Linked DNA regions of Drosophila melanogaster. The protein of the gene in region 2 interacts with the protein of the main gene of each other region in a pairwise test. Each region holds a gene or a part of one and is shown on either strand. Other genes may lie near its edges.

What was found. Proteins that work in one complex are often made in the same cells at the same time.
Region 1: the proteins of Deaf1 (region 2) and TfIIA-L interact in a two-hybrid assay, tested with the Drosophila melanogaster proteins (2 studies listed by BioGRID).

What each region holds. Positions count from the first base shown.
Region 1 is NT_033777.3:27,251,279-27,255,029, reverse strand, and holds the start of TfIIA-L (transcription factor IIA L), read right to left. Parts: upstream 1,601-3,751; 5' UTR 1,429-1,600; coding exon 1,405-1,428; intron 503-1,404; coding exon 302-502; intron 15-301; coding exon 6-14; intron 1-5. Other genes in the region: pll (pelle), read left to right, coding at 2,073-2,392, 2,451-3,116, 3,180-3,699. UniProt on the Drosophila melanogaster protein: TFIIA is a component of the transcription machinery of RNA polymerase II and plays an important role in transcriptional activation. TFIIA in a complex with TBP mediates transcriptional activity.
Region 2 is NT_037436.4:19,816,154-19,819,904, forward strand, and holds the start of Deaf1 (deformed epidermal autoregulatory factor-1), read left to right. Parts: upstream 1-2,020; 5' UTR 2,021-2,381; coding exon 2,382-2,513; intron 2,514-2,948; exon of another isoform or gene 2,949-3,037; coding exon of another isoform or gene 3,038-3,058; coding exon 3,059-3,751. Other genes in the region: fibp, read right to left, coding at 50-128, 193-378, 440-508, 567-667, 718-850, 907-1,014, 1,078-1,396, 1,464-1,542 and 1 more. UniProt on the Drosophila melanogaster protein: Transcription factor that binds the homeotic Deformed (Dfd) response element. High affinity binding sites contain at least 1 TTCG motif surrounded by additional TCG sequences.

The DNA.
Region 1 (3,751 bases), on a different chromosome or scaffold from region 2:
TTTACCTTGTGGCTCTGCATTCGAAACGTGCGGTTGGATGTAAGGGCGCATGGAAATGAATGGGTTTTTGAATGGATTTTGATGATGTGCAAAGAGCAGCGCATTAGTCGATGTTGTTGGTGAGGCGCGTTGCATTGTAGTGGTTCAAGTGGTGGAGCATAAGAAAGATAAAGCAAGATATCTTAGTTGGAAATTTTTTTTGGGATGAAGATATCACAATTTGTATGGACTTCTACGTTAAGTTAGACAGACACAAGGATTCGCGATGAGAATATCCACCCAAGGGCTCCGTTTCGCTTACCTTTGGATTGTTGGCCACGATGGGTGGCGGATGGGAGCCATCGCCGGAGTCCGGGCTCAGCTCGACGGCCTTGCTAGCAAGCAACTTGTTGCGCCAGACCTGCTTCATCTCCTGCAGCACCTGTTCGTCGACGCCCTCGTCCAGGAACGCGTCCCGCACATTTGTGATGACGTCCTCGATCACGGCATGGTACACCTTCAGCTGCGGGCGAGAGGGGATGCGGTTAATTGTGTATAATTAAATTTGAAATGCACGACAAATCTGGGCTTGTGTTGACTTAAACACTCATTATATTATCGCGGCTCAACTTCACGCTATTAGGGCCTAAACAGTTGGGGGTAAAACAATAGGGATTGCGCAAAAAATCCACGAAGCAAGTAAAGGGCAAGACGCTATAGAAGTTGAAAATGTGGCGCACAGTATGTGGTGAGCCTTTTTGAGCTCCCATTAAAATTCAGACGCAGCTGTAATGTGAATATGCAAAACGCAAATAAAGTATGTAAATTATTTGTTTGCGAAGAATGTCGCAGTGCACATATGTACATAGATACCATGCATATGCTGGTATATATATATATGTACATTGTACATATATATACACCGGTATGCCAGTTGCTTGTTTTATTAATAGTTTGTTTTGCGTTATCAGCGGACGATAAGGAAGGAGGCCCCGACTTGTAGATAATAGCACAAGCTACGCAGCGTGTATTACTGCTAAATATAACCCCCCATGGGAGTTTGAAGTACTACGCGGAAAAGCCGAAAATCGGAAAATCCAGAGGGCAAGAAACATACAAAACTGCAAGGCAACGAACGCACTAACACAGCGACATCCAGACAGACACGCACTCGCATGCACACACATCCACACCCGAGAGGTTTGCAGTTTTGGTATCTCGGATTTCAGCAGTTGTAACTATCGTTTTGTAGTAACTACCATGACCACTGGGAAAGCTTTCACTTTCCCGCGTGGGCGGCGGAAGGAGGTGAAGCTGGAGGAAATGGAGAAACTCCTTGGTAGGATGCCTTCCATATGTCGAATGCAATGGAGCCACCGCCGCTGACACAATTACCGGATCTCGGGGATCCAGCCGCACACTCACCACCGATGTCTGGCATAGCGCCATTTGGACCTTTTTCTCCGCCAGCTTGAGGCTTTTCCGTTCGCTGGTGGGGCTAATTGACGTATTTGCTGAATTATAAATGGGCGAAGCGAAGAATTAGCGATAGCGATGCGTTCGTGACGGTGTCAGCAGTGTGGCCACCTGCGGGGCACTTGAAAACGACGCATGTCCGCCAAACTGCAAGGCTCATTTGGTCATACACTAATTGCCTTTGGTATTTTTTAAGATATTTTAGTATACAAAATACTGTGCAAATTACATAAAATATGTGGAGGTTATTTAAAATCTATTTAATATTTTCATACAGCAAATACCTTTTTAATAATTACTCTGCTTTCTTTTTACTTCTGAATTTTAAACAGTGGCTCCTAAGCATCTACCACTTTTTCGAGTGTATTATTTGCTAGACATTGGCAGCGTTGCCAGACTGCTTCGCTCTGTTAAGCTGCTTTATCACTTGTTGCGCCGCTGTTAACAAGTCATCCACAGGTTTTCATCGAATCGCGTTGGGAATTTACCCAAAAGCGATTTTCGTTTCGCTGCAACAGGTTACCAGCGCCGCCAACCCCTCATCCAACGGGCACTCTTGCATCCGGAGCCGCATGAATCAGTCGCAACCGGTTGAACCGCCCGCCCATAAGTGAAAGATGAGTGGCGTCCAGACCGCCGAAGCCGAGGCGCAGGCCCAAAACCAAGCGAATGGCAACAGGACCAGGTCGCGTTCCCACTTGGACAACACAATGGCCATCCGACTGCTGCCGTTGCCCGTGCGAGCCCAGCTATGTGCCCACTTGGATGCCCTAGACGTATGGCAACAGCTGGCCACGGCCGTAAAACTCTATCCCGACCAGGTGGAGCAGATAAGCAGCCAGAAGCAGCGTGGCCGCTCAGCCTCCAATGAGTTCCTCAACATTTGGGGCGGTCAGTACAATCACACGGTGCAAACATTGTTTGCTTTGTTCAAAAAGTGAGTCAGTTTGAGATAATAACCGCCGAGATCCCAGAAATGACTCCTCTTACTTTAGATTGAAGCTTCATAACGCCATGCGTCTGATCAAAGATTACGTTAGCGAGGATCTGCACAAGTACATACCGAGGAGCGTGCCCACCATCAGCGAGCTGCGCGCTGCTCCCGATTCCAGTGCCAAAGTAAACAACGGCCCGCCGTTTCCCTCCTCCTCGGGCGTCAGCAACTCAAACAACAATCGCACCAGCACAACGGCAACGGAGGAGATACCCAGCCTGGAGTCCCTGGGCAATATACACATTAGCACCGTACAGCGGGCAGCCGAATCCTTGCTGGAGATCGATTATGCGGAGCTAGAAAACGCCACGGACGGCTGGAGTCCGGATAATCGACTGGGACAGGGCGGATTCGGAGACGTGTACCGCGGCAAATGGAAGCAACTGGACGTGGCCATCAAGGTGATGAACTACCGCAGTCCCAACATCGACCAGAAAATGGTGGAGCTGCAGCAGAGCTACAACGAACTCAAGTATTTAAACAGCATCCGGCACGACAATATCCTGGCCCTCTACGGATACAGCATCAAAGGTGGTAAGCCGTGCCTCGTCTACCAGCTGATGAAGGGCGGCTCCCTGGAGGCTCGTTTACGAGCGCATAAGGCACAAAACCCACTACCAGCACTCACCTGGCAGCAGCGGTTTAGCATCAGCCTCGGCACGGCTAGGTGGGATTTATCGTTTCTTTAGTGCTATCAATCTTCTTTAACTTTTCATTTCGTTTCCAAAAGAGGCATCTACTTTCTGCACACGGCGCGAGGCACACCGCTGATTCATGGAGATATTAAGCCGGCCAACATCCTGCTGGACCAATGTCTGCAGCCAAAAATCGGAGACTTCGGTCTGGTGCGCGAGGGTCCCAAGTCCTTGGACGCTGTGGTGGAAGTGAATAAAGTTTTCGGCACTAAGATCTACCTGCCACCGGAGTTCCGCAACTTCAGACAACTCAGCACGGGCGTGGACGTCTACAGCTTCGGCATTGTGCTGTTGGAGGTGTTCACGGGTCGTCAGGTGACGGATCGCGTGCCGGAAAACGAGACGAAGAAGAATTTGCTGGACTACGTTAAGCAGCAGTGGCGGCAAAACCGGATGGAGCTGCTAGAGAAGCACTTAGCAGCACCGATGGGCAAGGAGCTGGACATGTGCATGTGCGCCATCGAGGCGGGCTTGCACTGTACTGCCCTGGATCCGCAGGATCGCCCATCCATGAACGCGGTGCTCAAGCGTTTCGAACCGTTTGTTACCGACTAGATGGGCCTTATTATGTTACCATTTTATTGACGAACTTGAAAAGCTCGAAGGA
Region 2 (3,751 bases):
AACAAACAATTAAATACTATTTATATTTGATCCTTAGTTTAATCACATCTTAAATGTGATACATTTTATCCAAGCATATCGTTATGACCTGCATATAGCGATCCCAAAGACATCTGGTTTCTTGGTCCCTGCAAAACATTTAGAGTTGATTATCAAAAAAGTTACTTGATTAATCTAGACAAAAGTACCCACCTTGATATTTCCAGATCCAAAACGCTTTGCGTTATGGAAGCCAAAAATTTATTCACTTGCTCACGGTTCCAGCCATTCTGACGCCAAGGATCAATAAGCTTCTCACAGAGATCGACGAAAAGATCGCGCAGCTCCCGATTGCGATGCAAATTGCAGGCGATGGTGATCAGGGCGCGCCAGTAAGAACTGCAAATCAAAACAGATCAATAGTAAGAAAAGGTGATAATGTCGAGAAATAAGTCCTTACCGAAAGTTGCCATCCAGTTCGTGAAAGGCGCGCTCGAGAAGAACGGGTTTGAGGCGCATGCAGACGAGGCTAAATGCAAGGACTAAACTATATAATAGCTCGTGTGCGGTAGAAAAATAAATCTCACTGCTTAATCTCCTTTTCCTTGTCGAGTAGACAGCGCAACTCCCGCAGGTCCAAGAGAAACTCTTTGTCCATTTCGGTATCATAGTACTCCGGTCCAGTGTGCTGCATTTAGTAAATTAGTTTCGTAAGGAATTAGCAGAGCTAAGTCATACCTGGTAAGTATACGTCCAGTAGATCATGATGGCATGGGAGCAGGTCAACAAATCACTGAAGCTCAGGTATTGCAACTTTTTTTTGGTGGTTTCGAAACGCAGGCAGGCCAGGAAAACAATGCAGGCGTACTTTCTGTAAGAGTGAAAGGTTTAGCTTTTTGAAGTTCAATACATTGATTATATTCATACTTGGCTAGATCGGTGGATATGATGAAGTGTTGCTTGATGTTGTTGGTTAACGTGCCCGGCATTTCCTCGACTGCCTTAAAAATGCGTTTTACGTTGTCAAATTGTCGGCTGAAGAAGAAGTTGAAATATATTAGACTCTACTCTGCCTAAGTAGCGGCCAAATTTACCCACCGAACTGATTTTAGCTTGACGCACGTCTTCTCGGCCACCTCGTCGAGGTCCTTGCGGTAGCGGGACGACAGCTTCTTGCCAAGAATTTCGCGAGCCACCACATCATCGATGGAATAGTACTTCTCGGTGATAAGGTCACGCATTTGTGGCTCCAGCTGGAAGCAGGATTGCTCCATCAGTTTGGTGGGTGCGTTTAGGTATAGTTCAATCAGGGAATAGGTGCGGTAATGATCCAGTACATCCGATGCAATCAGGTCGCTGGGAGCGCCCATGGAGTGACCAAAACCCTTCTGTTTCAGATAGGACACCGCCTCGCTGGCTATAATTGTAAATCGATGGAGCCGTTTGACATGAAACAAGATTGCAATTGGGAGAAGAAAACTTACAGGAGAAGCCTTCGATCCATAGCTGGTAAATTTCTGGATCGATGATTGTATAATTACTTATAAACACATCCACATCGGCCTGTAAGCATTCAGTTTTACTATTTATTATTATTTTGGATCATCAGATAGTTACCATTATATTGCTAGAGTGACCGTTTTCTGAACTAGCTGTCCAATTGGATATATCGAAATGTATGTTAGAGATGAAACACTGTGTAGTTCCAACACAAGCAGCATAGTTTATTCTTCTCATGAATTTAAAACTTTTCCTTGAAAGTAATAAATCGTTCTTGTTTTCATAACATCAATATATCCTATTAATAAACAAGCGAAAATGTTTAGAGTAATAATGGTAAAACCAAATTCGGTGTGATTTTGAGTTTTAAGATCAAGTCATAAGGAAATCTTTAAAATTGTAATTCTCAGAAATCTTAATTTAATATGCAAGATATATAGCTGTAAACTTTCCGATATTTAAAAACCAGAGATGGGGCACAGATAGCGAGCACGAATCACGACTATCGATAGTGCCGATAGCGGGCGATAGCTGCAACGCGCATGACAACTCTAGTTATCATGAGGAAGAAGAGGAGGATATCAACTTTTTTAGTAAATTAGTAAAGTTTAAGCTTAAAAAATGTAAATTGCAATGAACCACCAGCTGTAAATAGGGCAATGCAACTTGAACGCGACCTGCGCGCAATTCGCATGTAAGTCGTGGTGAGCGCTGAAAAAAACGCGGATCGCGGCGGCAGCAACAACAACAACAACAACAGACCGTCCGTCGTCTCGGTAGACGTCGAATAATATACATATATCGCAATAATCCAATTGCAAGTGGTAATCCGATGAACAATTCAAGTGCATTACTATCGTTGGACCGCAGAATAAGTGAAAGTGAACTGGCATAACAATACTATGGAACAGGTTGACTCCTCCACCGAGCTGCACCTGAATAGGAAAGATCTGGCCGCGCTGGCCGAGGATGTTGTGAAAGAAGAGGTGATATTAGAAAGCTCCAGCCATCACCATCATCATCATCACCACCAGGTAAGAAAAAGGAGCAACAAACGGCTGCGTAAGGAGCCCATTTGGTTTTGGATTTTCCATTCGCTTCTCCTTTGGCGGGGTGGTTTTGGTTCCGGACTGTGTGTTTGGTTCAGGTTCTATCTATTGAATCCGAAACCGAATCTGGCTCGAAAACCGCTCCGCTTCGCTCTGCGCAGTTGTGGAAAGTGGGTGGTGGGTGGTTGGGCTAGGTGGCCTGGGGGTGGCGCAACTTGCGCCCTACGGAACGCTCCGTGCGACCCACTGGGCCACAGGCATTCCCCGCTCGCCTTCTCGCCTCCATCCACTCCCAATTTGCCTCCTCCTCCTCGTTTTCCCCCTCCACCCACCGCATTTGTGGCGCACAAATGTTGTGTATACCGATTTTCATTTTTCCCATGCTGTGTTGTTTACTTACATTCGAATTTTCATTCCCGATTCCTGTGCAAATCGCATTGAATTAAATCGCAAACGCCATCAATTGGCCGCTGGACACTCACCCACATACATGTGACGAACGTGGGAATATGTGCGCTATGGTAATGCAGTTGGACACCAAGGTTCGCATGGTCACATCCTCCTCCAACGACAACAGTGGTAGCGGCGGCGCCAGTGGCGGTACAAGCGGAGCGGGCGGAGGAAACGGCGGTGGCGGTGTGGTTTCGGTGCCCGTATCCCTGCCCATCGGTTCGATGATAACCGGCACTACCTTCAATGTGATCACGCCCGACCAGCTGCCCCCTCACTTCAAGCCGATGCTGTGCGTCGACAACAATGGCTACCTGTCCGGCAGCACGGTCAGCATGGGCAACGACCTCAAGACGATCGTCATCCAGCAACAGCAGACGCAACCAGGCGGCGGCGGTGGCGGCGCCAATAATGCGGGCACCAATACGACCGCCACAAATACGATTGGACTGAATCACGATGGCTCCGGGAGCAACAATAGCCACGACAGCCTGGCCACCTTGGAGCACGCCGCGGGCGGAGCGAGTGGCGTCGGCGGTGGCGGCGGCGGAACGGGTGGTGGCTCCTCGGGATGGTCGGAGAACCCGTCAACCCAGCACAATGAGGTCTTCCAGATCCGCTGCAAAACCACCTGCGCCGAGTTATACCGCAGCAAGCTGGGCTCCGGCGGCCGTGGACGCTGTGTGAAGTACAAGGACAAGTGGCATACGCCCAGTGAGTTTGAGCATGTGTGTGGCCGGGGCTCCAGCAAGGATTGGAAGCGTTCGATCAAG